Macaca fascicularis: one gene and its partners. The protein of the gene in region 1 interacts with the protein of each later gene in a pairwise test. Links are inferred from orthologs where the notes say so. Each region holds a gene or a part of one and is shown on either strand. Other genes may lie near its edges. The genes, in order: LONRF1, ADAMTSL4 and TRIM42.

What was found.
Region 2: the proteins of LONRF1 (region 1) and ADAMTSL4 interact in binary tests that used the Homo sapiens proteins (3 or more experiments, as listed by UniProt). The two-hybrid records come from large-scale screens. The link is inferred for Macaca fascicularis from reciprocal best matches to the Homo sapiens genes LONRF1 and ADAMTSL4.
Region 3: the proteins of LONRF1 (region 1) and TRIM42 interact in binary tests that used the Homo sapiens proteins (3 or more experiments, as listed by UniProt). The two-hybrid records come from large-scale screens. The link is inferred for Macaca fascicularis from reciprocal best matches to the Homo sapiens genes LONRF1 and TRIM42.

Annotation. Positions count from the first base shown.
Region 1 is NC_088382.1:12,683,716-12,694,519, forward strand, and holds the start of LONRF1 (LON peptidase N-terminal domain and RING finger protein 1), read right to left. Parts: upstream 5,030-10,804; 5' UTR 4,987-5,029; coding exon 4,266-4,986; intron 1-4,265.
Region 2 is NC_088375.1:110,698,261-110,708,977, forward strand, and holds the start of ADAMTSL4 (ADAMTS-like protein 4), read right to left. Parts: upstream 6,008-10,717; 5' UTR 5,917-6,007; intron 5,661-5,916; exon of another isoform or gene 5,508-5,660; intron 5,259-5,507; exon of another isoform or gene 5,119-5,258; coding exon of another isoform or gene 4,904-5,118; intron 4,903-4,903; coding exon of another isoform or gene 4,793-4,902; intron 4,791-4,792; coding exon of another isoform or gene 4,627-4,790; intron 4,625-4,626; coding exon of another isoform or gene 4,426-4,624; intron 4,424-4,425; coding exon of another isoform or gene 4,353-4,423; exon of another isoform or gene 4,218-4,352; intron 3,260-4,217; exon of another isoform or gene 3,207-3,259; 5' UTR 3,098-3,206; coding exon 3,078-3,097; intron 2,848-3,077; coding exon 2,784-2,847; intron 2,487-2,783; coding exon 2,131-2,486; intron 1,959-2,130; coding exon 1,262-1,958; intron 1,049-1,261; exon of another isoform or gene 1,020-1,048; coding exon 917-1,019; intron 1-916. UniProt on the Homo sapiens protein: Positive regulation of apoptosis. May facilitate FBN1 microfibril biogenesis.
Region 3 is NC_088376.1:43,535,267-43,545,422, reverse strand, and holds part of TRIM42 (tripartite motif-containing protein 42), read right to left. Parts: coding exon 10,086-10,156; intron 6,215-10,085; coding exon 5,517-6,214; intron 945-5,516; coding exon 124-944; intron 1-123.

The DNA of each region.
Region 1 (10,804 bases):
ATAGTAAGAAGTTAGTAACAATAACTGATGATAAAATAGAACAATAATAATATGCTGTGATAAACGGTACATGAATGTGGTCTCTCAAAATATTTTATCATACTGTACTATGTGGGTAACTGAAACCACAAATAAAGGGAAACTACTGTATTGTTTAAATTCAAATTTCTTCATTTTAACCTAGTTATGAAATAAAAACCCTCCACATTTTCTTTAAATGTATTCAGTATTTACCTATAATTTGACTGATCTTCTGATAGCTAAAGCTTTTCAGTATCTATAGTTTATTGATGAATGCTAAACTGCTAGTTAACATGTGTAAACTAAAATCGGGATGTAATCTTTACTCTCTACCAAGTGACAGAACAGAACAGGACGTAAAATCTCAAGGTTTAGATTCCAGTTTCAGCAAAATCACCTTCTGGCCAAAACACACTTCTACATTTTAAAAATATTTAATCAATATTTACTGGGCATTACTCTGTGTCAGGCACTATTTAAAGCACTTAGCATGTTTTTACTCATTTGATTCTCACAACACCCTATGAGGTAGAGACTATTCTCATTTTTCAGATAAGGAAACCAAAACACAGAGAGGTTAGGCAACATGCACAAGGTCGGAGAGAGCCGAGGGCTGTGTTGGGAATGGAAGCCAGGTGTCAGCTTCCAGCATGCAGAGCTTTAATCACTAAGCCACATTGCATGTCTATCCATAGGTGCCTCAGTTTCCCTCTGAGGATAATATTATGGTACTCCATAGAATTCTCTGTGAAGATCAAATGATATTAATATGAATAATGTAAAAGTACTGGGTAACAGTCAAGGATCATATTTTTATTTTTATTTTTATTTTTTGAGACTGAGTCTTGCTCTGTTGCCCAGGCTGGTGTGCAGTGGTGTGGTCTCTGCTCACTGCAAGCTCCACCTCCAGGGTTCAAGCAATTCTCCTGCCCCAGCCTCTGCGGTAGCTGGAACTACAGGCACGCACCACCACGCCTGGCTAATTTTTTCTATTTTTGGTAGATACAGGGTTTCACCATGTTGGCCAGGCTAGTCTCGAACTCCTGGCCTCAACTGATGCGTCCACCTCGGTCTCCCAAAGTGCTGGGATTACAGGTGTGAGCCACCATGCCTGGTCAAGGATTACAGAATTAATATTAAAGACAAAATTTTCCTTACCCAAATGTTTTAAAACAAAATGTTCTCCCCCTTATAACCTTTATTTTTCTTTTAACCTGTACAAATTGTAAATTATACTGTTCTGTTGTCTTCTTTTAGGGGAGAGGTGAACACACGAAGGAGACAAGTCAGTGTAAAAAAACGTTAAACACAAAAGGCAGACAGCATGGCTTAGTGGGATCATTTCAATAGGCTCAAGTACAGAGATTCAGTGCAGGAAAAACTTTACATAATATCCTTGAATACTAAAAAGACAGAAAGTTATGAAACATCTGAGAGTTAATACCAAAAGATCAATGGTTTAAATGTTATCTAAATATATTTCAATTCAACAGAAACTTATGTAATCTAAATGGGAAACTTCTGATTTTGGCAAAGGTTTTCAAGCTTTCTTTTGCTGCTGGCAGAGATAAGTTTGGATGTGTGTGGGCTAACTGCAGACTAGATTTTTTCTAGTTAATAGTATTTATTTGTTTCATTATAAGAATTACATGAAAAAAATTATAGTGAAGATCTTTTTTTCATTATCAATAATGACAGGGTCATTAATAACTACAACTGTACAGTTATATAAATACATGTCAAATGCCTAACTTGCCAATTCCAAAGAAGTTAAAGCCTAACGATCATACAAATGGATTATGACTGCACTCGTTAACATTTTGATTTACACCCATAAATTGTGAAACACTTATAAATCGGCCCTTTACCAACTCTAATAGCTCTGAGATTTTTTTCCCATTTTACTTCACATTAATAATTCAAAAGATTAAAAAAACTTATCCTCATTCGTGCCATTCGGACATTTTCAAGTATGGAATTAATGATTCTTGAAAGAACTAAAAATGAGGAAAAAATTAGCTAATGAAGTGAAAGTCAGAAGACGTGGGTTCTATTGCTGCAAGAGTAGAATTAAGTTGCTAAGTGCACAAAATCCCCACGTGCAATCTATGCAGCTTGTAAAAAGCAGAGATTACATCTTTCAGAGCCTTTTCCTGTTAAACATAACATCCTCGATACAAGAACCAAAATCTCTGTTAATTATTATTGGTCACAAAATGTTAAGCTAGACCTCAATTAGCAAATGTGTTCACTGTTCTTCCATGGCCCAGGACCTGGATTCTTGTGAAACACCTAATTTAAGGTCGAATCACTGTATCAGTAGTACTGTCCATAAGTTTCAGCCTCAGTGACCAAAAAAACTTCTTTGGATATGTATAATAAACATTTTCATCAGATAAGCTATAAGGCAGGATGAACCCTAGACCAACGTTTAGGAGAAGTGGAAGATACAGCGCTGCCTCTCAACCAGTTAACACTGTGACTGTGCGCAAGTCTTCACTGCCTGGCATCTGCTTCTTTGCTTTAAAAATCATACCATGGTCAGTTACTAGATGGTCTGTACAGCGGAGTCCAGTTTCTCTTCTCTTTATTCACCCAGAGGGACAGAGTCATCCGTATCAGAATTCTGTATTCCAAACACTTTTCTTTTGTTCTGAGCCTATCTTTCTATTTTATAACTGCCTACTCCTCATAAAGGCACTGAAAGAATACAAAAATCTCCGGTGTTTGTGCTTCGAACTCTGAAGATATTAAACAATGCAAGATCTTGACGTAAGTTCAATATGACTAAGCACTTGGGACAAAAGATGACCCGAAAGATGATCCTTTCAGTTACACAGTCTATAAATTTACCTGTAATACCTAAAGTCAGCTGCTATTCTAGATGTCTATTTTCTTGGGGATTATTCCCCCAACTATCCCCCAACTATCATGCCATTCCCCCAGCTATCATGCCAATGGATAGACACTAAAATCTTGAAATACGCGTAACACAAGGTTTATCAACAGTGGCACTTGGGGCCTGATAATTCTTTGTTGTGGGAATCCTGCTGTGCCTCATAGGATGTCTGAGCAGCACCCCGGGCCTCTCCCACTAGATGTCGGTACCAGCACCACCCCCACAAGAGGTGGCAACCAAAAATGTCTCCAGATATTGCTCTAGATAATGTCCCCTGAGAGAGGGGAGGTAAATCCGGCTGGTAAAGAACTACTGATTTAAAGAACAACTCTTCCTTTTACATAAGAGAAGCTTGACACTGCCCCCTTTCAGCGCCTAAAACCACCTTAAGAAGAAAGTGCTAGCTAACCTAGGTTAGGAGGCCGAGGCTGCTTCCTGGAGACTAAGAAATGCACTCAAGACCTACAAGGCCTTTCCCCACAGCTTGATCCTAAGTGGAACGGCCAAGAGAAGCGTGGCAAAGAACTCTGGATCAGGAAGCCCCTCTCATCTTTACCATAAGCTAGGTGCACTGCAAAGTACATAGGAAATAAGCATGATCTGAAACAGGCCGGCTGAAACTTTCGAGAGAAACCAGTTCAGGCATTTCCAGGTAGCAAGGGACCACCCGGGGCAGCTCCGCCCCGCGCCCCAAGCCCGGCGGCCTGCGGGGCCTCCCGGGGCCGGGTGCCCGCCCGGAGCTCCCGCCACGCCCACCGGACGTCACCCGTTACACAACGACCCCCGCCCCCAGCTTATGCAATTCTGCCCTCCCGCGGCTCCCAATTGTCCCGGTGACTTTTGTGGGTGAGGAAGGGAGACGCCGCCTTCCCGGCCTAGTTGTCCTCGTGGGGGATTCTCTCCCCACCCCGGCAGTCGTTTCCCCGCGGCGGGCCTGGCGCGAGAGAGTCAATTCCCGGAAAGCGCGCGGCAGGAAGCGAGCGGCCGCTCGGGATAGCCCAGCTCCCACCCATCCCGCGCCGGGGCACCCACGGCTCCGGTCACCCACTCCGCGCCCGGAGCGCGCGCCCGACGGCCAGGCCGCGGCCGAGGGAACCCCGCGCCGAGCGCCCCTCCCCGCGCTGCGTCACAGTCGGCTCCCAGGGCGATCCCCATTGTGACCGAAGCACCCCGGGGCGCCGCCCCCTCCCACACCCCCCAGCACCCCGAGACCCAACACGCCAGTGGCCCAGCGGCCCCGGGGAAGCAGAGGAGACTCCCGGGACGCAGACAAGCTCCGGGTCCCCGGCCCTCGGGGCCAGGAGGGTGCGGTCGGCCCGGCCCCGCCGCATCCCCGCGCGGTCACCTGCTCGCAGCGCCTCGCAGGCGGCGGCCAGGGCCTCCCGGTAGCGCCCCTGGTGTAGCAGCTCCCCGAGTCTGCCAGCCGCCCGGGCCCGCTCGCGCTGGCCCGGGAACCACTTCTCGGCCAGGTGGTTGAGGACGACGCTGGTTCTGAAGTCTGAGGCGGCGATGGCGGCTGCCAGAGGCGGCGGCCGCGGGGCGGTCCCTTCAGCATCAGTGGCACTGGCGGTGGCGGGCGGCAGCCGGTCCCGGCAGAGGCGGCAGCGGGCGCGGAGTTCCCTCCGCAGGCAGCGGCGGCAGTAGCTGTGGCCACAGGGCACGGTCACCGGCTCGCTCAGGAAGCCCCGGCAGCCCAGGCATCTGAGGAGCCCGCAGGCGCCGCCGTCCGCGCCCGCAGCCGGGGCCGCGCTCCAGCTCAGCCCGTGGCGGAGCCGGTAGTTGAACACCAGGCAGTCCACCAGGGCGCCCAGGCACTCGGGCCTGGCCGGGGCCCCGCGGCGCAGCGCCGCCGCGAACGCCTCCAGCGCGCCCTTCAGGTGGCCGCCCAGCGCCAGCAGCTCCCCGCGGCGGAGCAGCAGTTCCCAGCGCTCCGACTCCGCGGCCGCGCGCTCCAGCCGAAGGCCGCTGCCGCCGCCCACTTCCCAGAACCGGCCTCGGCCCTGCGGCGCCGGGGCCATCTCCCGACTCCCTCCCGGGGAACTCCTCGCCACCGCCGGAGAGGACATGGCCCGCGGAGGGCTGCGCTGCCGCCGCCCGCCGCCACGGTCCGGGAGCCTCCCGGGCGCGCGGCTCCGCACGCGGCCCGCGAGCAGGGGGGCGTGGCGCGCGGACACGGCGGGGCGGCGCGCGCCCGGGAAGCCCCGAGGGCGGGGCCTGGCGAGGGCGGGGCCGGGCTCGGCGACGGCGCCGGGACTCCCCCACGCAGCCCGCGGCCGCGCTCGCGAGGAGCCAAGCGCTGGGCCCCGCCCCTCCCGAGCCCCCTCCCGGCGGGGGCGCAGGTCGGATGATTCCTCCGTCGGAGATCTAATTGGCTTCTCCGGAAAGGAGGGCTCGGCTCGTGACGGAACAAAGCCCGATGGAGCCCAGAGTCTCCGTCCCCGCTTGCCTGCTCGCCGACGCCCCCACCTGCGGTGGCCCGCGCCCTTGCCGCGCGGGACTCAGGGTCACCACCCCTCCCCCGACGCCCCCGCCCAAGCCGGACCTGCCCCAACTCCTGGCGGGCGGGGGTCTCCCGGCGTGTCCTCACGCTTGTGCGGGTCTGCATTTTCATTCCTCTATGCCCAGGTTCCAGGTGGGCGCTCCCAAGCAGGGGGCCTGGGAGGGCACCTTCGGCAGATGTCTGGGACTCTTCGGTTCTAGAGGACTCAACTTTAAACAGGAACACAAAACCCACGTTCCTGGGGCGACTCCCTCCAGAGGGCAAGGAGTTTTTCCTGGTGCCAGGTGACTGCTGCCCTTTGCTTAAAACTCATCGTAGGCCCACCTCGAGGGAGAAAGCCCACACAGTTCCTCAGGTGTCTCCACACCTCAGGCACTGCCTTACAGCTGGTTAAAGTCTATAGTTGGCATATTTAAAAGAAAACACCGAGAAAAATGTTTTTCACGTGGCGGTCACCGTATTACTACAACCCAAGCAGGGTCTGCAGTTTTGCCAACAGAAGAAAATGATGGGGTTGATATATAATAGGTGCTATTTCCCTTAAACTTCACAGCGGCAAGTTTAAAGCTCTCCGCTGAAAATATTTATAGATTTGATTATAGGGTATTAGATTGTTAATGTTAGGAGTCACTTAGAACTTTTAGTCCTTTTTCAAATGATGGGAAACAGAGGGAAAGTTATTTGTCAAAAATCACACAGCTAATATAGATTTTAAGATCACGTCTATTCCACTATTATGTTACTACGTTAGACTGATCGTATATAATATTTAATAAAATAATAGTAATATTTCATAGAAATAGATTGTCAAAGGAAGTTGCTAATTGGAAAGTTCACGTGAGCATAGTATGTCTGAAAATGGTATACGTTTAATATTTCTCTTTATAAGGAACGGCAATTAAGGCTAAAAAATGTTTTGAGTTAATGTGTTTTCACTACACAATGAGCAAGTCGTGTAACGTCAGAAAAGATAGAGATATATTACCCTAAAGGGAATGAATAAAAAAGAGGTGCTTGAGAAAAAGCCAAGCCTCCTGTTCCAACAGGATGCAGACAGAAACAAGTTCATTTATCATTCACATTGCACCTGAAGCAAATTGCAGCTAGATCCAAGGAGCACCTCCTCAGCATTTGGCGTGGGAAGCACTGGGATTAAGTCATGAGATAACCTTAAATCCAATCCTAACCCCCGAAATTACTACCTTCCCTCAACAAGCAGAACAGTGACTTTCATCTGATGTCCACATACTCCCTTGAGACTTGAAATCACAAATAATATAACAAATATCCATGTGTACACGCACATTCATTTTTTGTAATGCATTCTTGTTCTTAATGGCAACTTGCAAAATATACAATAGTAAATAATGTGTTCATGTTTATTACAAGGAGCATAATAAATTAATAAACACTCATAAACTTCTTTTCAAATATAAAGTCGGGTTCTATTACGGGATTTCTGCCAAAAGTACAATATGTGGTTCAGAAAAGTAATGTGAAGTATTATTTGTCCTTTGGCGTTCCTTTCCCTAATAAATATGACAGATAACCACATCTGATTCTGATGTGAAATAAAATGGCACAATTATGATAATGTGCAGGAGAAAAAAATGGGACCGTAGGAGGAATCTTACCGTGTTCTCCTTGGCATTTGTGAATGGTTATAATTCATGTTTGCTGGTTTATACATTTACATAACTTGTTCTCATTTATGTAACTTATTTATGTAAGAGGCTGTACTGCCGCTGTGGCCTTTGTGTGCTGCATAACTTCCCTCTGAATCAGGAAGTCTAGGCAAAGCAGTCACTGGCACTGTCACAGGTCACCCTTCCATCATTCTCTGCCACCCAAAGTTGCACGATAATGTGACTGCTTGTTTAAATTCAAAAGTGAGAAAAATTAGTGTCCTTCTACTTTCATTTCCTAAAATTTAGACAGGTCTCTGAGTCACCCAGCAGGCTGTGATGGAGAAGAGGGAATCCTGCTAAACTGCCCCTGGCTGGGAGAAGTACAATGGAGTGAAGAGCTCTCCTTTTCCTTCGCATTACTTGCTTGTGTCATTCTTTGCTAACAAAGTAGTAAAATCATGAGATTTGTATTCTGTTTCGGTTTTTGAGTGTTGTCTTCTAAAATAGATCAGTTATGTAAGAGAGTAAGAAGAAAAGCGTATCTGTTTCCTAATTTGGAAAATGCTTATCACCATCATTGCCTGCTTATCCCTGCCTCCTACTGCCACACCATAAGACTTTTCCTGATATAGTTTGGTAAACTCCTATTTAAGAGTAACATAACACAGCACTTTTCTTGTATACAACTCAGCTGAAGATGTGTATTTGAACCTCTTTTTTTTTCTTTTTTTTTCTTTTTTGCTGTGGGTGAATTTACCATTTGTTTCTTTACATTCTTATTAAAAAAGAAACTGAATTTGTCAGTCCAAGCAAAATACGTCCCATTCCTGATTCATTTCAGTTGATAATGTTCTATTCAAAGAGAGTAAACTATAACATTTCATATAAACAGTACCTACCCAATAGCTTTTTCTTTTTGACACAATCTAGCTTTGTCACCCAGGCTACAGTGCATAGTGAGTATATAGCTCACTGCAGCCTTGACCTCCTGGCTCAAGTGATCTCCCACCTCAGCCTCTCCGAGAAGCTGGGACTATAGACGCATGCCTCTCTGTCCAGCAAATTGCTTTTTTTTTTTTTTTTAAACTCGTTGTAGAAGCGGGCCCCGTTATGTTGCCAGGCTGGTCTCAAACTCCTGGCCTCAAGCAATTTCCCTGCCTCAACCTCCCAGTGTGCTGGGATTAGAGGCATAAACCACCATGCCTGGTCCCCAATAGCATTTTTCAACACAATACACAGATGGAGGGGGCTCTAGAGACCACCTTGTCATACCTCTCATTATATATATATGAGAAAATTGAGATCTGAGAAGCTGCTAGTTTCATAGAAGTCATACCAGCGAGGGAATCTGGACACCTGGTGCTGACTGTATTTATGCCTCTATGCCAGGGAAGAAGTCACCTGGGTTCCCTGGGCCTCATTTGCTATCTGTAGAAAGAGGGAACTGGAACTACCCCTAAGGTGCCTTCTGCCTCTGGAGCCAAGCCCCAGGGCTTGGTTTGAACACAATAAGAGGAGACAGAGCATCTCCCAGACTGAGGAACACAGCAATGTGATACCTGCTGAAAATGTAACAGCAGGTGAGGGCTGAGAATAGAAGAGAAGGGTATCAAGAAACACATTTTGTTGGTGCGTACCCATCCCTGTTTAGAGAGGGGGAACCAGTCTCTGAGACCTGAACACCTGCAGTCACTGTACAGGGATCCCCTATTGCACTCACACCTCCTTGCCCCTACTGTAAAACTGTGGGAAGCTGAAAGAAAGCCGGGGGTGGGGGGGCCGAGGGGGAGCTGATTATATAACTTGGGCATTTGTGGGAAACTTTATATAAGATGCTAAAAATACAATATATTATTGCTATAATAGCGTTCCAAGTGAAAAGCCCTAATGAGGACAACCCGAGTAGGTTAAATACAGCTTATATGAAGTGTAAGTCTAAAGCCAATTGCCTGCAATGACTACCATCTAACCAAGTACCGTTTACTGCGCATTCTTTGTTATCCCTACAGGGTACACAAAGTGCGCAAGGGCCACTACCCTTACAAAGGGTGCTATGCTTCATTCTTCATTTCTAATACTCTGAAGAATCTAGAAATACTAAGTGTGTGACCCGTGGCCTATTTTGCTGGTAGTCAAATTGATTAAATGAATAAATACATTTCCCTATATCGAGCTGTTTAAAAAGTAGACATAGGAATAAACCCCATATATTATTTAACAAATTCTAAGAATTTACTACATATGGATCCCCCTGGTACTTTCCATCCTCCTTCCTTCCAGGCCTATACATGCCCCCCGCCCCCCCCGCCCGCACCATGCTCCTGCCTTCAGTACTTATCATCTGGCATATTACATACACATTACTCGTCTCCACCCTCCAGAATGTAAGCTCCCTGAGATTTGGGATTTCTGTACATCTTGTTCACTGACATGTCTCTAGCACCTAGGCACCAAGAAGACACTAGAAAATCATTGTTAAATGAGCCCACCCACAAAGATATCATGTACTATTCTTCATTCTTGTTAGTGATAAAAACCTGGTGGGGTGCGATGGCTCATGTCTATAATCCCAGCACTTTAAGAGGCCAAGGCGGGTGGATCACCTGAGGCCAGGAGTTGGAGACCAGCCTGGCCAACATGGTGAAACCCCGTCTCTACTAAAACTACAAAAAAATGAGTTGGGTGTGATGGCACATTCCTGTAGTCCTAGCTACTCTGGAGACTGAGGCATGAGAATCACTTGAACCTGGGAGGCAGTGGTTGCAGTGAGCCAAAAATATGCCACTACACTCCAGCCTGGGTGACAGAGACTCTGTCTCAAAACAACAACAAAAATCCACTTACCATTAATACATTGGGGCAATTTATTTTCTTTATTTCTCCTCTGTTATGGATTGAAGGTTTTTGTCCCCACAAAAATTCATACGTTGAAATCTGATCCCCCGAGTGATGGTATTAGGAGGTGGAGCCTGGTTGGAAGTAATTAGGTCATTAGGGTGGAGCCCTCGTGAATGTGATTAGTGCCTTATAAGAAGAGGCCAGAGAGCTAGCTCAGTCTCTTTCCATCAAGTGAGGATACAACAAGAAGTAAGCAGTCTGCAACCCAGAAGGGAGCCCTCGCCAGAATCTTACCATGCTGACCCCCTGATCTCAGATTTCTACCGTTCAGAACTTTGAGAACCCAGTCTATGGTGTTAGGTTGGTGCAAAAGTAATTGCGGTTTTTGCCATTTCTTTTAATCGCAATTGCATCACCTAATACTTTGTTACAGCAGCCCAAGCTGACTAAGACATCTTGTCTTTCTCTGATACCTCCCATTCAGTGTGTCAGACAGTCTGCTTGACCACTCTTACCCCTTCTCCCCCAACACCACCCTGGCCCAAGACAGTAGCATCTCTTGTTTTATTTATTTATTTATTTAATTTTTATTATTATTATTTTTGAGACAGAGTCTTGCTCTGTCACCCAGGCTGGAGTATAGTGGCACGATCTCGGCTCACTGCAACCTCTGCTTCCCGGGTCCATGCGACTCTCTTGCCTCAGCCTCCCGAGTAGCTGGAATTATAGGTGCCTGCCACCGCACCCGGCTAATTTTCGTATTTTTAGTAGAGACGGGATTTTGCCACGTTGGCCAGGCTGGTCTCGAACTCTTGACCTCAAGTGATCTGCCTGCCTTGGCCTCCCATGTGCTGGGATTACAGGTGTGAGCAACCGTGCCCAGCCTACATCTCTCGTTTTAAAATTAAGACAAGTTGG
Region 2 (10,717 bases), on another chromosome or scaffold:
GAGGTTAGCTGAGAGAGGCCCCGGGGGGGCACCTTGAGGTTGCCCAGGTCACTGTGGATGAAGGAAATGTGACAACAGCACAAGCTGAGAAGGTGGTCAGGGCCGGCACAGTGGCTCATGCCTATAATCCCAGCACTTTAGGAGGCCGAGGCCGGTAGATCATTAGGTCAGGAGTTCAAGACCAGCCTGGCCAATATGGTGAAACCCCATCTCTACTACAAATACAAAAATTAACCGGGCGTGGTGGCACATGCCTGTAGTCCCAGCTACTTGGGAGGCTGAGGCAGGAGAATTGCTTGAACCCAGGAGGCAGAGGTTGCAGTGAGCCGAGATCTGCACTCCAGCCTGGGTGACAGAGCGAGACTCTGTCTCAGAAAAAAAAAAAAAAAAAGGAAGGTGGTCAGGTCAGTCGAGGTCACTGAGACCATCAAGGGGACTCTGAACCGAGAGAGGAGCAATCCCTGACGCCCATGATTCTGTGTGTTCAGAGCTCTTGAGTGCTTGTCTTGGTGTCAACACAGGCCTAAAATGAAGCGGATGGTAACTTGGGAGCAACCGATACGGTAGTGCCCAGGATACGTGGCACACCCCCACCCAGCTGTCACGGCTGGACAGGATCTCTCCCACTGTGGCCCTCTTGTGTCACAGCCACCCGACCCCCAGTGATGGCCTTCCCAGAGGAGTCCGGACAAAGCGTGTCTCCCGCACCTCCTCCTCCCACCCCGACCCCTCTGCAGACCACTCGCCGCCACCTGTGCTGTCTCCTGACCCAGCCCCAGGGAGAAGAAAGAAGGCACGGCGCAGGGGAAGCAGAGGGGCTGGAAGTCATTCAGGGCTGGGAGTAAGCAGGTGTCTCCTCTCCCCTTCATCCCCAATTCCAAGTCATCACTGCCCAGGGGTGGGCAAGAAACCTCACCTTCGGTGAAGGGCTCCCACTGGTACAGCTGGCCCATGAATTCCTGGGAGTTAAAGGCCGCGCACTGCAGGGCCCGGGGGTCTGGCTGCTCGGGGGGGCAGGGCTGCGGTGAGGGGTACAAAGGAGTCAGAGCTGGGGAGCAAAATGAGGGTAAGGTCAGGGCTGAACCTGGGGAGCAGGCGGGAGGATCAGGTCAGCGGAAGAGCTCCAAGACCCCTGCCCTGAGGTGGTCAGATGCCAAGGCCCTTCTCCCTCAGGGGCCGAGAAGAAGCTGAGGGCCCAGCTTCAGGGCGGGGAGGCCACACTGGAGGTTGGGGTTGGGAGGGGAGACCCGAGGAGACTCACCGCTTGGCTGCAGGCTCTTAGCTGCTCACTCTCCCCAGAACATCTTGGAATAGGGCTACTGGGAGCAAAGAGGCTCCAGAGGGAGCTGGCATGGGGGCCGTTGCTCAGCAGGGGCAGCCAGCCGTCCGGGTGCTGAGGGTCAGGCTCCAGGCGGTGCCCGTGAGGAGTCCCCCCCATTCCCCAGGGCCCCTGGCCCTGCTGGCCTCGGCCCCGAGGGACTGAAGGGAAAGGATCAGGGCGTCTCCCTGCTACCTGGGGACTGGCCCAACCCTGGGAACTTGGCCTTCGTGGCTGAGGGGATGCACGGAAGAAGCCACCTTCTCCTAAGGAGCGCGTGGGTGAGGGGGCCTCTGTGTCAGCGGCCTGGGCTCTGGGGTGGTGCTGTGGAGGGGCAGGCCTGGTTCTGGGAGCCACCTCTGTCTGAGCAGTTTCAGGGCTTAGAGGTTCTGCTTGGGGGGATGGGGTGTGGACAGACAGTTCTGTGGGAGGGAGCTCAGTCTTGGGGCTGCCGTTTGTGGAGAATGGCTCTGCTCTTGGAGTAGGGGATGGAATGGGCTCTTCCCCTCTAGAAGAAATCAGGGACAGCTCAGATCTGGGTGGCCTCCGAGGGTGCCTGCGGTTCCGGTGCAGTGGCAATGCAAAGGGCACTCTCCCATAACCGAACATTCCTGGCTTGATGGGGTCTCGAAGCCGGGACCTGAGAAGGTGTTTCAGATGTGGGGGCACAGCTCTGACCACCTCTGACCCTGTTTCCCCAGTTTACTTCCTGGCACCAAAGACAAGCCCTCTGAAGTCACCCGTGCTCCCCTTTCCTTCTTGCTAAGCCCCCACCTTGCCCAAGGCCCACCTCTTCCACCCAGGCCTCTCACCTCCTGGCCGCTTGAATCTCCTGGGTCTCCTCTCTCCCTAGGTGGGAAGCAGGACCTCGAAGTGGGCCACCCCTTCCCCGAGACTGTGTCCTGTACAAGGGGAGGGTTTCTGGAGAAGTCTGGGGTCTGGGACCCTGGCCCCGGGGGAGGAGGGCTTCTGGATGTCTTGGGGGCCGGGGAGGGAGGGGCAGACTCGGGCGGAGCTGCACTGTAGGGAGCTGACATGTCCGGCTCCTGCGCTGCACCCCCACCCCGCAGGGCTGGGAGCAAGAGGCCCACTGGACCCAAGGTCCCCAGACACCTTCGAGGCCCTGGCCCTCCTCTGTAGGTGTCTGAAGAGAGTGTCCGGACAACACCTATATAGAGAAAAAGGTCAGACAGAATTGGAAGGATTAGAGGGAACTGTCCAGAGCGTCCATCTAGACCACCGCTGGGGCTCACAGAGTCGCTGCCAGTCCAGGGTCACATTCAGCAGCAGAGGGAGAACTACACCTCGGCCTCTTGGTGTTGTGAGGCAAGTAACTGTGGAGTTGGCAGGGGAGGTGGATGGGCTGTGGGGAAAGGAGGCGTGGCCTGGAGAGATGGGGTGGGAGCCCAGGGGGAGATGAAAGGGTGGCAGGCAGGCTGCAGCTGCTCACTTGTCCAAAGCTCACCTCCTGATCCAGGCAGAGCTGAGGGAGGGACAGAAGCAGCAGCAGCAGCAGATACAGCCAGGGCCTGCAAACCAAAGGCCATGGGAGGGACGTCAGACTGGAGCCAGAGGGGGTGTTGCAACACCACCCTCCGCCCCCAGCCGGCTCCCCATATCCTGACTACCAACTTCTCAGAAAGCAGAAGTTACTCATCACTTCCCCTGCCCCTCCCAGTGGTCCTCTTTCCCTCACTTCCAGACATGCAGCCGTCCCAGCAACCCCCCCTTCCCTCCCCACCATGGCCCCTTCTCTCACCTGCCTGCCCAGTTCTCCATCACTCCCCCCTCTACTGCCCCAGGGCAAGGGAGGAGCGGACTGGTCACAAAAACTACACAGCCATCTGGGCAGGCATCTGGGTAGGCATCTGGGTGTGGAGGGTGCTCTCTGCAGGGACAGAAGCCTGGTGGTTACCTCTCCAGTGTCCAGAGAGCTTGGGGCTGGGAGGACAGATCAGAGTGGAGGAGGTGGTGAGACTGGCCCACCCCTTTAGGATCCTCAGGGTGGGAGCAGGGAGGATCACTGCCTTGTCCATCTGTAGAGGCTACATGGTCGGGGGCTGACCTCAGCCTTCCAACTAAGGCTCAGTCCCCACCCCTGGGCCCTGTAGGGGCTTCTTAGCTCCTCCCCAAATCCTACCTAGAGACTGTTTCTAGGCCGGCTCAGGCACACACAAACGGCTTTTTTTTTTTTTTTTTTTTTTGAGATGGAGATCTCACTCTGTCATCCAGGCTGGAGTGCAATGGTGCCACCAAAGCTCATTGTAGCCTCAAACTCACAGGCTCTCCTTCCTCCTCAGCCTCCTGAGTAGGTGGGACTACATGCGTGCACCACCACACCCAGCTAATTTTTGTATTTTTTGGTAGAGACGGGATCCAGCTAAATTGCACAGGCTGGTCTCAAACTCCTGGCCTCAAGCGCTTCTCCTGCCTTGGCCTCCCAAAGTGCTGGGATGACAAGTGTGAGCCACCGCACCCAGCCAGAGGGCTCCTTCTAAAATGGTTGTCATCTGCTCCCACTCCTGCCCTCCCAGAGGTGCCTAGAAAGTAGAGGAGGAAGGCTCCACTGAGGATGTGCCAGACACTCTCTCTGAGGATCCACCAGAAGCCCCTTCCTCGGGTCTTCCAGAAACGAGACCTTCCCCAGACATCTCTCTGTCCTACTTGCCTCCTGGCTTTCTCTTCCCTTCTGTGGAAGAGATGTGCGGGAACATCCAGGCACATCTCAGACACTTTTGGCCAAGGGATAAGCTAAATGGGTTGACGGTTTAATCTCTAGAGAAGAAGCCCGCAATGTAACACCCACTCTGGGTGCCAGCATCCAGCACTGGTTCAGTGAGGGCTTGTTTCCTGTGCGGCTCTACCAGCTGGGGAAGCGGGAAGGAGAGGTGCAGCCAGGGCTGCCTCTTGCCCCAGCCACAGGCCTCTCATTCTCAAGAGGCAGGAAGTCCATCTGAAGTTCAGCTTTGAACACTGGAGAAGTGAGGCTTGGAACCCTCCCGAGCCACAAAGCCTGACTCTCCTTGCCCCCTTCTCACTTAGAGGCCTTCCCACCCCTGCTCCTCATCCCACTCTTGGGTCTGCTTTCCAGGAAAAAAAAAAATGTTTCTGTTGGATCTGAAAGGCACCCGGGAAAGGAATCCAGGGAGCCCTCAAATTGCTGAGGTGGGCCAGCTCTGGGGCAGAAAATGACCAAGAGAAGGGAAGGAATGTGCCTGGGGGCAGACACTGCGCCCCACTGCCCTCCCTGAGACCTAGGGCTCATAATTTGAGGGAGGGGTCAGAGTGGCTGAGCCAGAGCGGGCGTGCCTCACGGTTTAGGGTTGGGGAGGGGGTTGCCGATGGCCACTCCTTCCCCTGGCTGGGCCGGCCACTGAGGTCAGCAACTCCGCCCTGACTGAACGGGGGAGGCCAGGGTCTCCAGAGAAGGGCCCATGTTCCACCCAAGTGTTCAGGCTCTGCCTGACTCTGTTACTCTAGCTGAGGGAAGAAGAAAGGGGGTGATGGTCACTGCCGGCCCCTTCTCTGATGCCGACCCCTCTCCATGCCCTCTCTGCCTCTGTTTCTCTCTGCCACCCAGATCTCACCGCCCCTCTCCACGGGTCTACCCAGTACACATAATCCCGTCCCGAGCTGGGTTTGGCCTTGGCAGTTCCCTGGAGAAGTGAGGGGTGGGGGTGACGTGAGCTCCTGGGGCCCGGGCCAGGCCTGGCTCCCTCTCTGGAAAAGTCCCACCCCACCCTCCCCTGCGCAGCCCGGCAGGGGCCCATGCCCCCTCCTCTGCAGAAACACACGCACATTTGTGCTTCTCACCCCTTTCCATGTGCCTCATTTGGTGTCGTTCACGGCCCAGGACGGGGAAAGGAGAGGTCAGAGGTTGGTGCCAGAATAGACCCTGGTCTGGACAAATGTGGGCTCCTCCGGACCACACCTCTCCACACTGCCCAGTGAAAACCAAGGAACAGAGACCTGAGCAGGGCTCACCCCTTCACCCCCAGGTCTCCCTGCTGGAGAGTGTGGCTCGACCCTATGTTTCTGGAATAGCCACAGAGAATCCCTGTCCTGAGTCCGAATTCCCTGGCCCTCATGGAGCCCTCCACTCCTGGGTCTGGCAGGCCACCCCAACAGGTGTCTTTCTTTTTTGTCAACCTCTTCTGTCATCGGACTGAACTGGATCAAGGGCACCCACCTGCGTCCCTCGCGGCGACCCTGTCCTCCAACTCCAGGAGTTGCAGTAGGGGGGCGGGAGGCACACCGTCCGAGAGCACCCTCCTAGGGAGAGGGCAGGAGGCGCTGCCCGCGCGGGGAGGTCGTGGGTCTGTTTTCCAACTTCGCTGTGTGACTTAGGAGGAATTTTGGCTCACTCCTCGCCCGGGTGATGGGGCCAGAGTTCCACGGGATCAGACCCCCTCCCCAGGAATTCGACCCCAGGGGCTGGAAGATCGTCCGAGGCCACCGGAGCTGGGGCCGGGGTCGTGGCGGGGGCGCGACCGACCGCACAGCGCAGGGAGAGGGGACGACGCGGGCGCGCGGGGCTGGTGGTCTAACGGGACCCGGGAGAGGGGCGGCCGGGGCCGGGGTCTCGGGGAGGTCTCTACCTGCTCTGCGCGCCCCGGTGGCCCGTTAACCCTTCTGCACCCGGACGCTCTCTACAGGCAGCCTCGCTCCGCGGCGGCCACTGCGGCCCCTGAGCCGCTCTCCGGACACCGCCGCCTCGGCCGCGACTCCGCCCTCGCGCCCGCCCCCGCCCCGCCCGCCACGCGCCCCAGCCCGCGCCCCTTGGCGGTCCCGGGGTGGGGACGGTCGGCCTCGCAGTCCCGCTCGCCAGGACCACCCACCCCGGGCTGCGCGCCGGGCGCCCCCGGTCGGCTGCGTGAGCAGAAGCCCGGGCGGGCCCAGCCGGGGTCGGAGGCTGCGGTCGCTCCCGGGCGCTGTCCTCGTGTCCGGCTGGGATTAGGGACTTAAGCAGCCCGGGCCTCCGAGTGGCTCGGGTGAGCGGTGCGAGAGCGGCGCGGCGCGGGCGGCCTCCAGGGGCGCCTGGAGCTAGGCGGCCTGGGAGAGCCGCTGGTCCGGGAGGGCGGCGCCCTGGACGGAGGTGCCCGCGGCCCCGGATCCGCGTGGGTCCAGGCTCTCTCCTCCACGCAGCCTCACCTGCAAGCTCAGTCACTCCTAGCTCTCCCGTGTTGGGCAGTGAACCCTGTGGTTCTGATTGCTGGGACTTCTATGAGCTTCGGTTTTTCCCTCAGTAAGGTTTTACACTCGGGACTCAGCGGAAGGACAACGTGCTGACTTCTGAGTCAGAGTGACCTGGTTTTGAATCTCAGCTCCAGCACTTGCCGGCTGTGTGGTCTTCCACAAATACTTCCACCTCTGTGTGGTGCAGTTTGCTCATCTGCAAAATGGGACTAATCTAATATATGGGATGGACTTGGATATGTCTCTTTATTTATATATGGAAGAATGCACCCCAAACTCAGTAGTATTGGTGACATCTGGGGAGGGGTTCAGGGTTGGAGGAGAACTGAAAAAGGCTTTTGCTTTTTACTCTGTGTTATGTTTATTATTATTATTCGAGACGGAGTCTCTCTCTTTCGCCCAGGCTGGAGTGCAGTGGCACGATCTTGACTCACTGCAAGCTCCGCCTCCCGGGTTCACGCCATTCTCCTGCCCCAGCCTCCCCCGTAGCCGGGTCTACAGGCGCCCACCACCACGCCCGGCTAATTTTTTGTATTTTTAGTATTTTGTATTTTTGTATTTTTATATTTTTATAAAATATATTTATAGTATATATTTATACTATTTTTTATACAAATATTTTTACAAAAATTTTATACAAATTTTATATACAAAATATATTTATAGTATTTTGTATTTTTAGTAGAGACGTTTCACCGTGTTAGCCAGGATGGTCTCGATCTCCTGACCTCGTGATCCGCCCGTCTCAGCCTCCCAAAGTGTTGGGATTACAGGCGTGAGCCACCGTGCCCGGCCTCTTGTTATTAATATTATTATTATTGAGACGGAGTCTCATTCTTGTCGCCCAGGCTGGAGGGCAATGGCACGATCTCGGCTCACTGCAACCTCCACCTCCCGGGTTCAAGCGATTCTCCTGCCTCAGCCTCCTGAGTAGCTGGGATTACAGACGCCCGGCGAATTTTTTTTTTTTTTTTTTTTGAGACGGAGTCTCGCTCTGCCGCCCAGGCTGGAGTGCAGTGGCCGGATCTCAGCTCACTGCAAGCTCCGCCTCCCGGGTTCACGCCATTCTCCTGCCTCAGCCTCCCGAGTAGTTGGGACTACAGGCGCCCGCCACCGCGCCCGGCTAGTTTTTTGTATTTTTTAGTAGAGACGGGTTTTCACCGTGTTAGCCAGGATGGTCTCGATCTGCTGACCTCGTGATCCGCCCGTCTCGGCCTCCCAAAGTGCTGGGATTACAGGCTTGAGCCACCGCGCCCGGCCTTTTTTTTTTTTTTTTGTATTTTTAGTAGAAACAGGGTTTCACCATCTTGGCCAGGCTGACCTTGAACTCCTGACCTCAGGTGATCCAAGTGCTGGGATTACAGGCGTGAGCCACCGCGCCTAGCCGTGTTATGTTATTTTTGTGAATTTTTTAACCACAAGAGTAATCCATCTATTAGTTTTATCTTTTTTTTTTTGAGACGGAATTTCACACTTGTTGCCCAGGCTGGAGTGCAATGGCATGATCTCGGCTCACTGCAACCTCTCCCTCCCAGGTTCAAGTGATTCTCCTGCCTCGGCCTCCCGAGTAGCTGGTATTAGAGGTGTGCACCACCACGCCTGGCTCATTTTATATATTTTATATTTTTTAGTAGAGACGGGGTTTCTCCATGTTGGTCAGGCTAGTGTCAAACTCCCAACCTCAAGTGATCCTCCCGCCTTGGCCTCCCAAAGTGCTGGGATTACAAGCGTGAGCCACCACGCCCAGCTATTATTTCTTAAAAATAAATAATGTATGTCAGCTGGGCGTGGTGGTGAAAACCTATAGTCCTAGCTACTCAGGAGACTGATGGGGGAGGATCGCTTGAGCCCAGGAGTTTGAGGCTGCAGTGAACTATGAACTATGACTGTGCCACTGCACTCCAGCCCCTGCGACAGAGAGAGACCTTTCTCAAAAAATAAATACATAAATAAAATACGTAAAATGACTGGCATAGAGTAGACAATAAATGGTCACTGCTATTTTTATATTTTTACTGTTTTTTTTTTTTTTTGAGATGGAGTCTTGTCCTGTCACCCAGGCTGGAGTGCAGTGGTGCCATCTCTGCTCACTGCAACCTCTGCCTCCTGGGTTCAAGCGATTCTCCTGCCTCAGCCTCCTGCCTAGCTGGGATCACAGGCGCGAGCCACCACACCTGGCTAATTTTTTGTATCTTTAGTAGAGATGGGGTTTTACCGTGTTGGCCAGGCCGGTCTTGAACTCCTGACCTCATGATCCTCCCGCCTCAGTCTCCCAAAGTGCTGGGATTACATATGTGAGCCACTGCGCCCGGCCTATATTTTTACTTTCTATTTACTGACGCGTTGTGTTTTGTTGGGTCTACTCAGTGTTTTAAAGGTTTTTGTTTGTTTGTTTTTTGTTTTTAAGACAGGCTAGTTTCAAACTCCTGGGCTCAAGAAATCCTCCTTCCTTGGGCTCCTAAAGTGCCAGGATTACACGCATGAGCCACTGGGCCCAACCTAAAGGTGTATTTTTTTTTTTTAATAACTTGTCAATACCTATTTTAAAACCTGGATATTTTAAAATTTCCCTTGAAAAACTAAAACACAAAAATAGAAGCTCTAACAACATTGTCGTGCATCCTCACAAAATATCGGAGGTCTTTGGTTCCCCTACCTGTCATTTCTTGGGCACCTTTTGCACTTTATGTTGAGGAAGCAGCAAGAGGACAGTCTCTAGCCTCAAGGAGTTGGTCTGATCAGGCACAGACACTGCAGGTAATGGGGTCATGGGAAGGTTAATACTGGGCTCAGCTGAAGGAGATGTTATCTCTAAGAAGATGATGGATATGAAAACATAAAATGCTTTCAAAATGTAAGAATTGGGCCGAGTGCGGTGGCTCATGCCTGCAATCCCAGCATTTTGGGAGGCCAAGGTGGGCAGATCACCTGAGGTCAGAGTTCAAGACCAATCTGGCCAACATGGTGAAACCCCATCTCTACTAAAAATACAAAAATTAGCTGGGTGTGGTGGTGGGCGCCTGTAATCCCAGCTACTGGGGAGGCTGAGAAAGGGAGAATTGCTTGAACCCAGCAGGTGGAGTTTGCATTGAGCTGAGATGATGCCACTGCACTCCGGCTTAGGTGACAGAGTGAGACTCTGATTCAAAAAAATAAAATAAAATAAAATAAAGTAAATAAAATGTAAGAATGGTGTCCCGAGCTGGGTACAATTGCAGGCACCTGTAGTCCCAGTGATTCGGGAGGCTGAAGTGGGAGGATCACTTGAAGCCAAGAGTTCAAATCCAGCCTGGGCAACATAGCAAGACCCCATCTCTAAAAAAAAAAGAAGAAAAAAGAAAGGAAGGAGAAAAAGAATTGTATCATTATTTGAAATTTAACATGCATATTTTTTCTTGGTAAATCCCTAAGTTCTTCCAGGATAAAGGATTATTTGTGCTACTTTATATCATCTATACTTTTTCCTATTTTATATTAGAGTTTTGTTTTTTTGATAAGTCACTGAAAACAACAACTTGAAAACACGAAGTACACCACGAAACATGGCGCAGGTCGGATCGTCCTGTGCCTCCAGGAGGTGCCTCTCCTCATCCTCCATCCAGGTCCTGAGTTCCTACATGGGTTAAGAAGATAAAAGCTTAATGCCCCTCCCAGAGGGCTGGTTTATCTAGGGACTCCTGGTGACAACCTCGAGGCATATTTATAGTGCTAGCTTTGAAGGGGAAGCCCCTTTGCCCAGACCTCAGAGTATGATACAGATTATGTGAAGCCCAGCCTTCCAGGCAGAGTAAGATATTTTAGGCCAGGGACCCTTCAGTCCTGGCCCAGTCACACCCCATCGGCATTCACTTATCTACAGGGAGGGAAGCTGCAGCACAGGAGTGTGGGAGGAGAGGAAAGTTCTGCCTTTGACATTTGTAACTGCTGAGAATTGAAGGTCAGAAATAGTTCTTTCCACTAAGAAATGGCTGCTGACCAAATAGCTCATGAGATTTCCTATTGCTGTCACCTCTCATGGCTTGGTGGTCTGAAAATATTGTATAAAGAAAAGAGTTTCCTATGCCTCAGCAACTTGTGAAATATCAGATTAAGTTTGTGGACACTGTCTCCAGGATAAAAAGTTTTTAGGCTGGGTGGGGTGTCTCACGCCTCTAATCCCAGCACTTTGGGAGGCTGAGGTGGGTGGATTGCTTAAGCCTAGGA
Region 3 (10,156 bases), on another chromosome or scaffold:
AGCAGATTTGAGTGACCAGATCCTAGAGGTCAAAGAGATAAGTGCAACTTTTCCTGACTACTGACTTCTACTCTGTACCCCAAACCCTCCCACCTTCCCCACTGGGCCCAGAACTTTTCTTACCTTGGCAGCTCTTGGGTACACCAGAGTCTGGTAGATAACAATTGGGCCCGGGGTCTTCACAGAGCCATCGTTGAATGAGTACCAGTTGTGGAAGCTGCTGCTGTTCTGTACAGACTGGCTGTCTGCTCCAGCACACCAGTAGGTGTAGAGACCATCTGTGGGTTTGGCGGGGGTGGCTGACTGGGCTCTCCCACAGGCCTCCAGACCCACCTTGGCCTTCTCCTCAGTGTTGCTGAAGGATAAGATGGAGGAGCTTCGCTGGTATATCTGCTGGTTGCCGAGGCTGTGGGTGCTGAAAGTGACCTTCCTGGCAATCATTGTTTCTGAGTGCACAGGGTAGGGGGAGGGCAGTGAGTCCCCTGAGGAGCATACCTTCTTGGGCCCTGTGGGGAAGAGCTCATGGATGGCACTGGAAAGCTCAACAAAGTCCAAGGGCATGCAGTTTATTGAGTGTAGCCGGAGCTGTGGGTCAGGCCTGTAGGTGGTCTGGATGCCATCCTCAATCTGGTCCACCAGGATCTTGGCCGACTGCAGGAATGCCACCTGGCCAGTCTCCTTCAGGGCTTCCTTGGAGTAGGCGATCAGACCATCCATCTCGTTCACTTTCATGGTTGTAACATACACATATTTTTCAATTTCCTTCTGCCTGGACACTTCTAGATTCTCTATCTGCTCCATGATGATCTTCTCTTTCTCCTGAAGAATGCTGCGCAACTTGAGAAAGCCATTTCTGATCTCTTTTCGCTTTGCCTCCTTGTCAGCTTTAAAGCTGTTTTTTAAGATGTTGAATTCCATTAGGTCATTATCAATTTCATATCGGACTGCAAAAATGCCAAGTTAGTTACTTTTAAAATTTTCATCTCCCCAGGTGTCAAAGCCAGTAGCAAGCTAGAACAAATTACCCTAGGCTCCAAGGAGGTGAATGAAGAGGGAGGGAAGGCACTTGTAGTTGGGCTGAAACAGGCTAGAATAGGTTTATGAAATGAATTTGGCCTCCTTAGTACACCTTCCCCTTCTTCTCCCTCTGATCCTTCCCTGGGATATTTCTATCTTGTAACAGTAATCCCTATGGCCTTGGGTCTGAGACTGGAAGTTCAAGCCCACCCTTGATATTGGTTTTTACCAGATTTCAATTGTCTGCAAGTTGGACTTGAGAAGAGGTGAAGTCACAAAGTGACTGGTGCCTGCTTTTCCCTGTCGGAAACCTAAGCTTTTGCAATGGTGAGAGGAAGAACTAAGTTTCTGCTGACTACTTCTAAAGGTTGTCTTGCATCATTCGCTAAGCCTCCAGCCCTATACAACAGTGGGAAATTAGCAAAGCTTCCCTTCATTGAGGTGGCTCTCTTACATGCCCTTTCCCCCCTTTGTTTGTCTTGTGGTTCAGCTATGTCACTTCTCTTTGCCTTTCCCCCACTGCTTTCAAAAAAGAGTCTGCTGTCACACTTCAAGGAAAACCAGTTTATCTTGTGCCCCTCATATGGCATTTGGATTTTAAGTTCACTCAGTCATTCAACAAACATTTACTGGAGTCCTGTTACATGCCATGTATCTTTTAGGCACTAAGGATATGGATGTGATTATGAGAGGGCATCTGTGCTCAAGTTATGAATAAATCCAAAGATACTATAATTGAAGGATGCTATAGCAGGGTGAGCATGTGGCACATCTCTATCTGTGAAATGGGCTTTATGTGAAAGGTGAAATGAATACCTTTGTTAGCTTTAGAGGATTTGAGGCATTAAGGAGCAATTTGAAGAGTATCAACCTTCTGTGGCCGTTAGAAGAATGTCAATCTTCTACAGATAAGATTCTTCTCATGAAGGTAAACTCTTCAGTGAATTGATGGGCAATAATCCTCACCAAATTTTACTCAGAAGTAGGGATGACTAGCTATTTTTGGACTTGGTTCATAACACTATCCTGGTTCATAGGAAGCTGGACTTCTGTGAGTGGTGGTCATTATAACAAGGGTGTGCACTTGAGTATGGGAAACCCTAGAGTTCTGTCAGATCATGCGAACAGGGACCACATTACCACTATGACTATGGTGTGTAGAGGTGAGCAAATGTATTTGTTGAGTAAAAGCCATTCTTTCCTGTCTTCTAACATCTCATTGGTGAATGCCAGCAGTGTCACTCTCTGGCTAACTCCCTGAAGCCCCACTGTTTTCTTGCCATCTCCTTTCTCACAGTGGCTCAGAAAAGATGAGGTGATGCAGGTGAGACTGAAAGGGAAACTACTAGTGTGCGATTTCAGTGCTGAGAAGTGCTTCTTGCCCTCCCCAATGCACTGTGACTATGGCAGCCAGAATTCTACTTTGTGCATTATTTTCTTTGACTATTCAATAGTTACCTACTGTTAAAGATACTTGGATAGGAAATTTCTTCCTGTATGAGGGATTAATTAGGCTTATGTAGGGCAAAGTCCTGAGAAGCAGGATAAAAATTTCTTAGATGAGGGGAAAAAGGCATCTCCAGGAGGAGAAAAAAGACAGAGGAAGCCAGAAATGTCCCATCCCAAACTTCTACAAATATGAAAGCTCTGCAAGAGCTGATTTTAAACGAAGTCAAATCAAGCTCTCTTTTTAGGTAATACACTTAAAATTAGTTGCTATTTATTAAACACTTTTTATGGACCAGATCCATATGTTATTATATATCACATATATCTTCTTATAAGGAAGATATTGTTTCCACTTACAGATGAAAAAGCTTGAGGCCCAGGGAAGTGAAGTGACTACACAGTGTTACACATCAGGTAAATGGGAGAAACTAGGCTCTGTCCCTAATTCTATTTGTCTAGCTCCAAACTAGGTTCTTAATCGCTTCAGCTGTGGCTCTCAGCCCTCTGTGAGCACCAGATTAACCTGAAAGAGTGTTAAAAAAAACCTCTTCCCTTGGACTCATCTACTAAGATTCTGAATCAATGGGCCTGTATTGGGGCTCAGGAAGCCAGGCAAGGCAGTGTGCAGTGAGGTGTAGAATCTAACCCAGGGAATCTCCTGGGATCATGTTAAAGATGCAGATTCTGGTGCACTAGGCCTGGGGTGGGTCCTGAGATTCTGCATTGCTAACAAGCTCTCAGGTGATGCCGATGCTACTGGTCCTCGAACCACACTTTGAGTGGCAGGGACCTAAACTTTTGAGCTCCCTTTATTCCAGTGGTTCTCAACCTTGCCTGCACCATAGAATCACATGAGGAGTTTTTTAAAAGTCCGTCTTGCTGAGCCTGCACCTCTGTGTGGATGGGACAGGGGCATCAGTTTTTAGTAAAGCTTCTAAAATGGATCTTCTCTCTAGGTCCCCAAGTTTCTCAATGTGTATTCCCAGATCACTTGCTTTTGAATAACACGGAGATCTGTTTAGAATGCCAATTTATGGTACCTCCCAGAAAAGTGAATCAAGTGCTCACGAACAAGTTTGAACCCTGGTTAAAAAAATGTTGTGTGTCTGTTTCTTTCTTCGTCAAGGATGAAAGGTTAAATTATTTACTTATAGCTAATATCTAATTTACCTATTATCCCTTTTTCCCTTTCCAACTGCTGGGTTCCTTGGAATTTGGACAGGCATTTTCCCCCCACCTAGAATTGAGCTTTGTTGTCTGACTTTTAGGTGCCCTGGACTCAGAAAACTATCGTAAGTTTCACATGTATTAAGGACAAGGTTCCCTACAGAGGGATGGAAGGCACAGTAGGCTGTAGAGAGCAGCACCCTTGCCATGCTTGGCCAAAGAATTCAGACAAGCCCTGGCCTAGGGAAGCAGTGAGTCCCACCTTCAGAAAACCCTTTTGGAACCAACAGTTCTACCATTTTCTTGATAATATGTGGCTCCTGCAGGGTTCCTTTAATATGAAGTATTCCCTGGTGGTGGTTCCAGAATTAAATAAATGTCAATTGACAAGCAATGTTTCCAGGTATGTGGCAATTGAGAAAACTCGAGGTATTCCTGAAGCTGCTGAGAAGTCAGGGGTGATGTGGTCATTAGCAAAGCCTGTTTTGGACCCACCTTTATATCCAGTGGGACCTTTCTGTGCAGCTCAAGGAAAAGCTGCCTCCCTCCCAATGTATAGGCCTATCTGAATGTTGGAGACTAACAGATCTGACAATGGGAAAGGCCTGGGTTGATCTGGTGCACTTTGGTAACTGACTGCAGGCCACTCCTTAATGAAACAGACCATGGATGGTGGTGGTGGTTCCCCCTTCCTCCCCTTCAATCTCTTCATCTTCAGATTCTGGTCGCTGCTTAGCACAGAGTAGATTGTCAAATAAATGTTGTGGAATTAATGGTGGACACTGGAGTCAAATAGACTGCATCTGCCACTTATTAGCTGCCTGTCCTAATTATTTTTTTGAACCACAGTTGGCTTATCCATGGAGGACATTTTAATGCCTGTACTGTAGCACTATTGAGATTAGACAAAATGTGCTCCACAGGCCTGAGTAAAGTTGGCCTTTATACAAGGAACTATTCCTGAGGGTAAAGGGCACTAAAGGAATCTTTTGGATTCTAATGTCTGACCAGGTAGAGACATACCCAGAAATTATGCGGCTCTTTGTTGAATCCTGTGAAATATGATTATACTTGGTTTTGTCACTGAAACAAGAAATTATGGGCTCTTTGCTGAATCCTGTGAAATATTATTATGCTTGGTTCCATCACTGAAACCATCACTGAAATATTATTTCACTTAAAGCAATATTATATGTAACAATATAAAACAACCAAATCACCACGAACAAGAATGCAGAGGAAAAACAAGCTGTTGACTAGAATACCATTGGCTAGTTATGAATTGTCCCTGTTGTTATATGTTTGCTGCCCGTTTATTTACTTTGGCATCTGCAAGTTTTGGAAAAAATTCATGGAGGGAAATTTAACATTGAGATAATTCTCAGCACTGACTTAATTCTTTCCCCCTGCACATTTAGGAAAACCAAAGCGATCCAACAGTGACAGAACACCTTAGAACGTCACAGAACGTCAGTATACTATAGGATCAAAGTCTTCATTTTCCAAAAGAGAAAATGAGACCTGAGGACATGCAGATTATAATCAAGATTATAGAATCTTTATGCACTTGTCATATGACTTTTTGCATTCTTTACATAGAGTAACTCACTTAATCCTCATGGCAATCCAGTGAGGGGGTCACTACTATTCCCCTATTTCATAGGTGAGAAAAGCAAGGCACGGAGAAGTTAAGTGACTGGTAGTGGTTACCAGGAGCGGACACCAGGATAGTGACTTGCAGGATAGCACAGTGTTTCCTGGTGCCTTGATTGCTCCACTAGGTGGAATCTGTTAAGGCACTCACTTAGCACATTGCCCCACGCCATCTTCCCCATGTGTTCCTGAACTAGAAGTTAGGCTGAAGGAGTGGAGAAGGGGAGGACCTGCTTTGAACTTGGCGATGGCGCTGAAGAGTGAGGCGGCCCTCTCGGAGCAGGCGTCGATGAGGCTGATGGTGTCGTGGCCATTGTGGAAAGAGAACTTGCAGAAGGTGCAGAGCAATTCGTTGTCATTGCGGCAGTACTCGATGATGCGGCTGGATGGATGGTGGATGCAGATCTTCTCGTCCTGTTCCTCGGCGCTGGTGTCCACAAAGACGTGGTCTTGCATGGCCACATCCGAGTGGAAGGCCTTGAGGCAGTCGTTGCACAGGTTGAGGCGGCAGGTGATGCAGCGCTTGTACGCTATGCGCCTATTGCGGCAGACCTGGCAGAGGATGGGCCCGGAGGAACGGTCAAAGCGCCACTTGAGGTAGCCGTGCTGCTGCATGTAGCGCTTGGTGAGGCGCCCGCGCAGGTAGTTCTCCGGCAGCTGCATCTTGTGGCTGTAGGGCATGCAGTGCGAGCGGTCGCACACTGGGCAGATGAGGATGAAGAAATTCTCGGTGACCTCGGCGTGCTTCTGCAGCTGCCGCAGGCACTTCTCACACAGGCTGTGGTTGCAGGGCAGCATGAATGAGTGCAGGCGCAGCCGGCTGCACATGGGGCAATTGAGGTGGTTCACCAGGTGGCTTTTGGCTGGTACTGATTTCACTTCATCCAGCTGGGTATCGCTGCTCCCAATGCGCAGGGCAGTCTTGGAGCTGAAAGGAGAAGCAAAGGCAGGGTTTCAGGAGGCAGGCTCAAGAGCTTGCTCTGCCTCTCTACCTCTGAAAGAACTCTTGGTTTCTGAGGGGCAGTCTAGGGTGGTGGTGAGGAGCCTCAGCTGAGTGCCAAGGTGCCTGCGTTCTCAACCTGTCTCCACCATTTTTCAGCGGGGTGACCTCAGGTAAGCCAGTTAACCTCTCGGCCTATTTCCTTGTTATAAAATTAGTACCCATGTCAGAGTTTCTTGAGAAGATTAAAATTGAGTTTAATGCTTGTACGGACTAAGAGCAGTCCATGGTACACAGTCAGTGTGCTGCAACTGCTTGCTGTTATTAAGCAAGGGAAAAGCCGCAGAGACTGGTCAGGCGTCAGCTAGGCCTTGGTGTTCCGTTGGACATCGGTAATATCAAAGAACACAGTATCAGACAAGGCTACTCTGTGACTTTGGATCAAAGCAGAAACAAGGCCACTTTATAATGTTTGGACTCAGACACGAACGTTGTCTAAATCACGAAAATGACCCAACATCCCCCTATCCTGGTTGATTTTTTTAAACCAAAAAACTGTTTTTTTTTTTTTTTTTTCTTTTTTCTTTTTTTTCCAGCAGCTTTTGGGTCACTCTGTTCTTCCCACCTTCTAGATAAGATTTATTAAAATATTCAATAGATTTACTCCCGTGTCCTCACCTAACATGAGCTCAAATCCTGTAATAACTTTTCAAGGTACTTTACACTTTCCCATGCTTTATATTCTCACTTGTTGCAATGAGTCAATAAATACAATCTTGTCCAACTACAGGTGTGTTCTTAGGGCTTTTTTTTTTCCCCTGGAGGACATTGACATTATTTATTGTACATAGATGGAACACAGAGCAAGTCTGTACCTGAGCCAAGCCTAGAACCTGTGTGGTCTGCCAACCAGACCAATAGGTAATGGTAATGGATCTGGGCTTTAGAGGCAGAGCGTGTGTGATAAAAATGCACCACTTTACAGTTGTACCTTCTGAGATGTTTTTTTAAACCTCTCTCATGTTCAGTTTTCTTAACTATAAATCAAACCTCACCATACTACTTGCTTTGTGAGGTTTTTATAAAGTCTAAATGAGATAATCCATGTAAGTGCTTAACTGCTGGTACATAGTAAGCATTCAGTAAATGTGGCCACTGTAATTACATCCCTTTGCTACTAGCCAGCTAATGTCTGCAGTAGAGAGAAATCACAGTAAAGGAAAATAGTGGCCAAGTCTGTGAAAAGTATGTGCTTCTACTGTTTCATTTGTGTGTGTTAAAGCTCTCCATTTGTCTAATGCCTGAGGCTGATTTCATACATTTAATCGTAAGAACTATGGAGTAAAAGCATACTTGTAAAATTCAAGTGCCTGTTCTAAGAACTTACAATCAGCAAATGCAGTGTATAAAAATAAATGAATTAGCTGTGGGAATGGAGGTGTAAATAGGCACACAATTTGCCGCTATTGCTCTCTCCTCTGTTTGCATAATAGTATTTGGATACTAATCTTGACATTGTGGCTGTGTTTCTTTCTACTTTTGTCTTCTTGCATTCCTTATGTGTCCCTGTCTTCCCCACTCCCTATGTCTGAGTCCAGATAGTCACAGGTGCTTCCCAAGTATATTGGAATGGAGTGGCCCTGTGGTGACAGAGAATGCTTCCTGTGTGGATTAAGGCACCTGGAAAATTTGTGCCTTAGGGATCTGGGAACTCCAGGCATGCTGGCCTCGATGTTCTCAGCTCTGTTTCCTCTCTGCTTTCCCAGATTCCTGCATGGGTCCTTAAGGGATCACCTGGAGGTACAGGTCAATTGTCCATGTAGTGCCCAGATGGACTTTAGTTTGCTAAAAAAGTAAGGACTGGAGGTATAATATAAAGAGAGACTGTTATGAGGCCTTCACAGCAGGTATCTCTACTAGGAAGCTCATGAGCTAGCATTTTCACAAAAAAGAAAGAAGAATGGGGGAGGGAGGTGTTGGAGGACGAGAAAGAGGTCTCAGGGCTAACAGACAGGTATTAATGGCCTAGGTAGCTGTGTTAGAGGTGAAAAAGGAAGTGGGAAAAAGACTAAGATGGAGAGGGATGCATGAGACCAGAGTGAGGCAGGACAAGCAAGGTGCTGAACAGAAAGTGGTGATGAGAAACAGGGGAGGCAGAGGGTCAGAAGCCAGGAGAGAGGCTAGATTGAAGAAAAGCACCCACAGCTGACCTCCTAACACTTGTGGTAGCATCCCTGCCCATCCTCCAAAAGCCTTAGGCTCGGATGGGGCATTCAGTGGCCATGGTTCCATTTCAAAACAGTCATCAAGCCCAGCGCTTTTATCTTCTTGCTGAGATATCCTGTCTCTGCTCCTCTGCACAGCCCCCTCTCTCCCAAAATCAGGCCTGTTCTTGCACCTGGATTCTTGCTGGATCACCTGTCAAATCTCCTGGCTTCCCTCCTAGCCCCCTGCAGGCCGTTCTACACATTAGAATCACCTGAAGGCGGGGGTTGAGTCTAATTAATTCAGATGCTCAGGTGGTACCCCAGACCAATAAAATCAATGTTTTGGGGGTGGGGATCAGGCATCAGTAATTTTAAAAGATCCCCAGGTGACTTCAATGCACAATAACGTTGGGGAGCTACTGAGCCTAAGGCATTTTCCTAAAGCACCAATTTTATCCCTTTCCTGTTGAAATGGGCTCAGAGGTTCAGCTGCTGCTGCACAGAAAATGAGGTAGTTAAGAGAGGAGTGTGGACACTATTTTCCATGCTTTAGGATTTCTAGACTTGCATCGAGAATCCCTGGATTTCCTATTTATGCAAACACTATGAGAGGGTCATGGGTGGAGAGTTATGTTTGTTAAGCATCTACTTAATGTTTAATTGCAAGATGGATAATATCTTTCCCCTGAATTCACCAAACCTTTGCTTACAGAATTGCTTTTCCAGGCTTGAAAGCCTTCTAACTGCCTTCTATTTTTCTGCCTCTTCTAATCCTGTCATCTTATGGTGATGTCATCTTTCCCCTTCTAAGAAGTGTGCTCTTACTACTTCAGACTCCCCTCATCTGTGACGTAAAAAGACTGGTTTGGTAGAGCAGGTGAGGATAATGTAGGACCTAATATGGAGGGTTAGTACTCCAAATGCGTAATTGAGACCCTGAGTACTATGACTTCTGGATGGGAAAAACAAGGTAGTAGGAGTTCATGGATGTATGGGGTATTTATATGATCCTCAGGGTCAAAAGTGCCCTGTAGAAATTCTTACTTTTCCATTAAATGTTGCAGGTATTAAGAGTTCATAGGAAGAGAAAGAGCAGTTTATATTTTTATATCACATACAGATTACAAAGCATGTACATTAATCCTTATATCTATAATATCATGGGAAGGGGGTATTGTCTCCATTTTGCAATATAGCATTTTAAAGTTAAGATCCCAAATTTTAGGTTCCAATCCTGACTGCATCTTTCCAGCTGTGTGATCCTGGGACAACTTTACTTCTCAAAGGCTCAGTTTCCTCATGGAAACAGTGGACTTAGGGTGAGGGGTTAGCTGGGGTCATGCATGAAGTTCCTGGCAAGTTGCTTAAGCACTAACTATTAGCTATTACTATTTTGTACAGATGAGAGAGTTGGGGTTCAGAGGAGTGAAGTGCTCATTTTCATAGTTAATGGTGCTTAGATTTGGAACTCATGGTCTACATACATAGTGACCATTTAGGATACAGTTAATTGCTACAAAATTCTTAGCTCCTTCTTAGATAAAGAAATGAACTCAGAGGCGCACTGGCCTGCCCTGTGGACTTCACAGCTGGCAAGTGGTCCCTAGTTTTCATGAGCCAATGTGGCCCCACATCCAGTGTCTGACACTTACGAGATATGGACGCTCCTGAGGCGGCCCTTGTGGAAAGTGACGATGGTATTGCGGCAGCAGCGACTCTCATA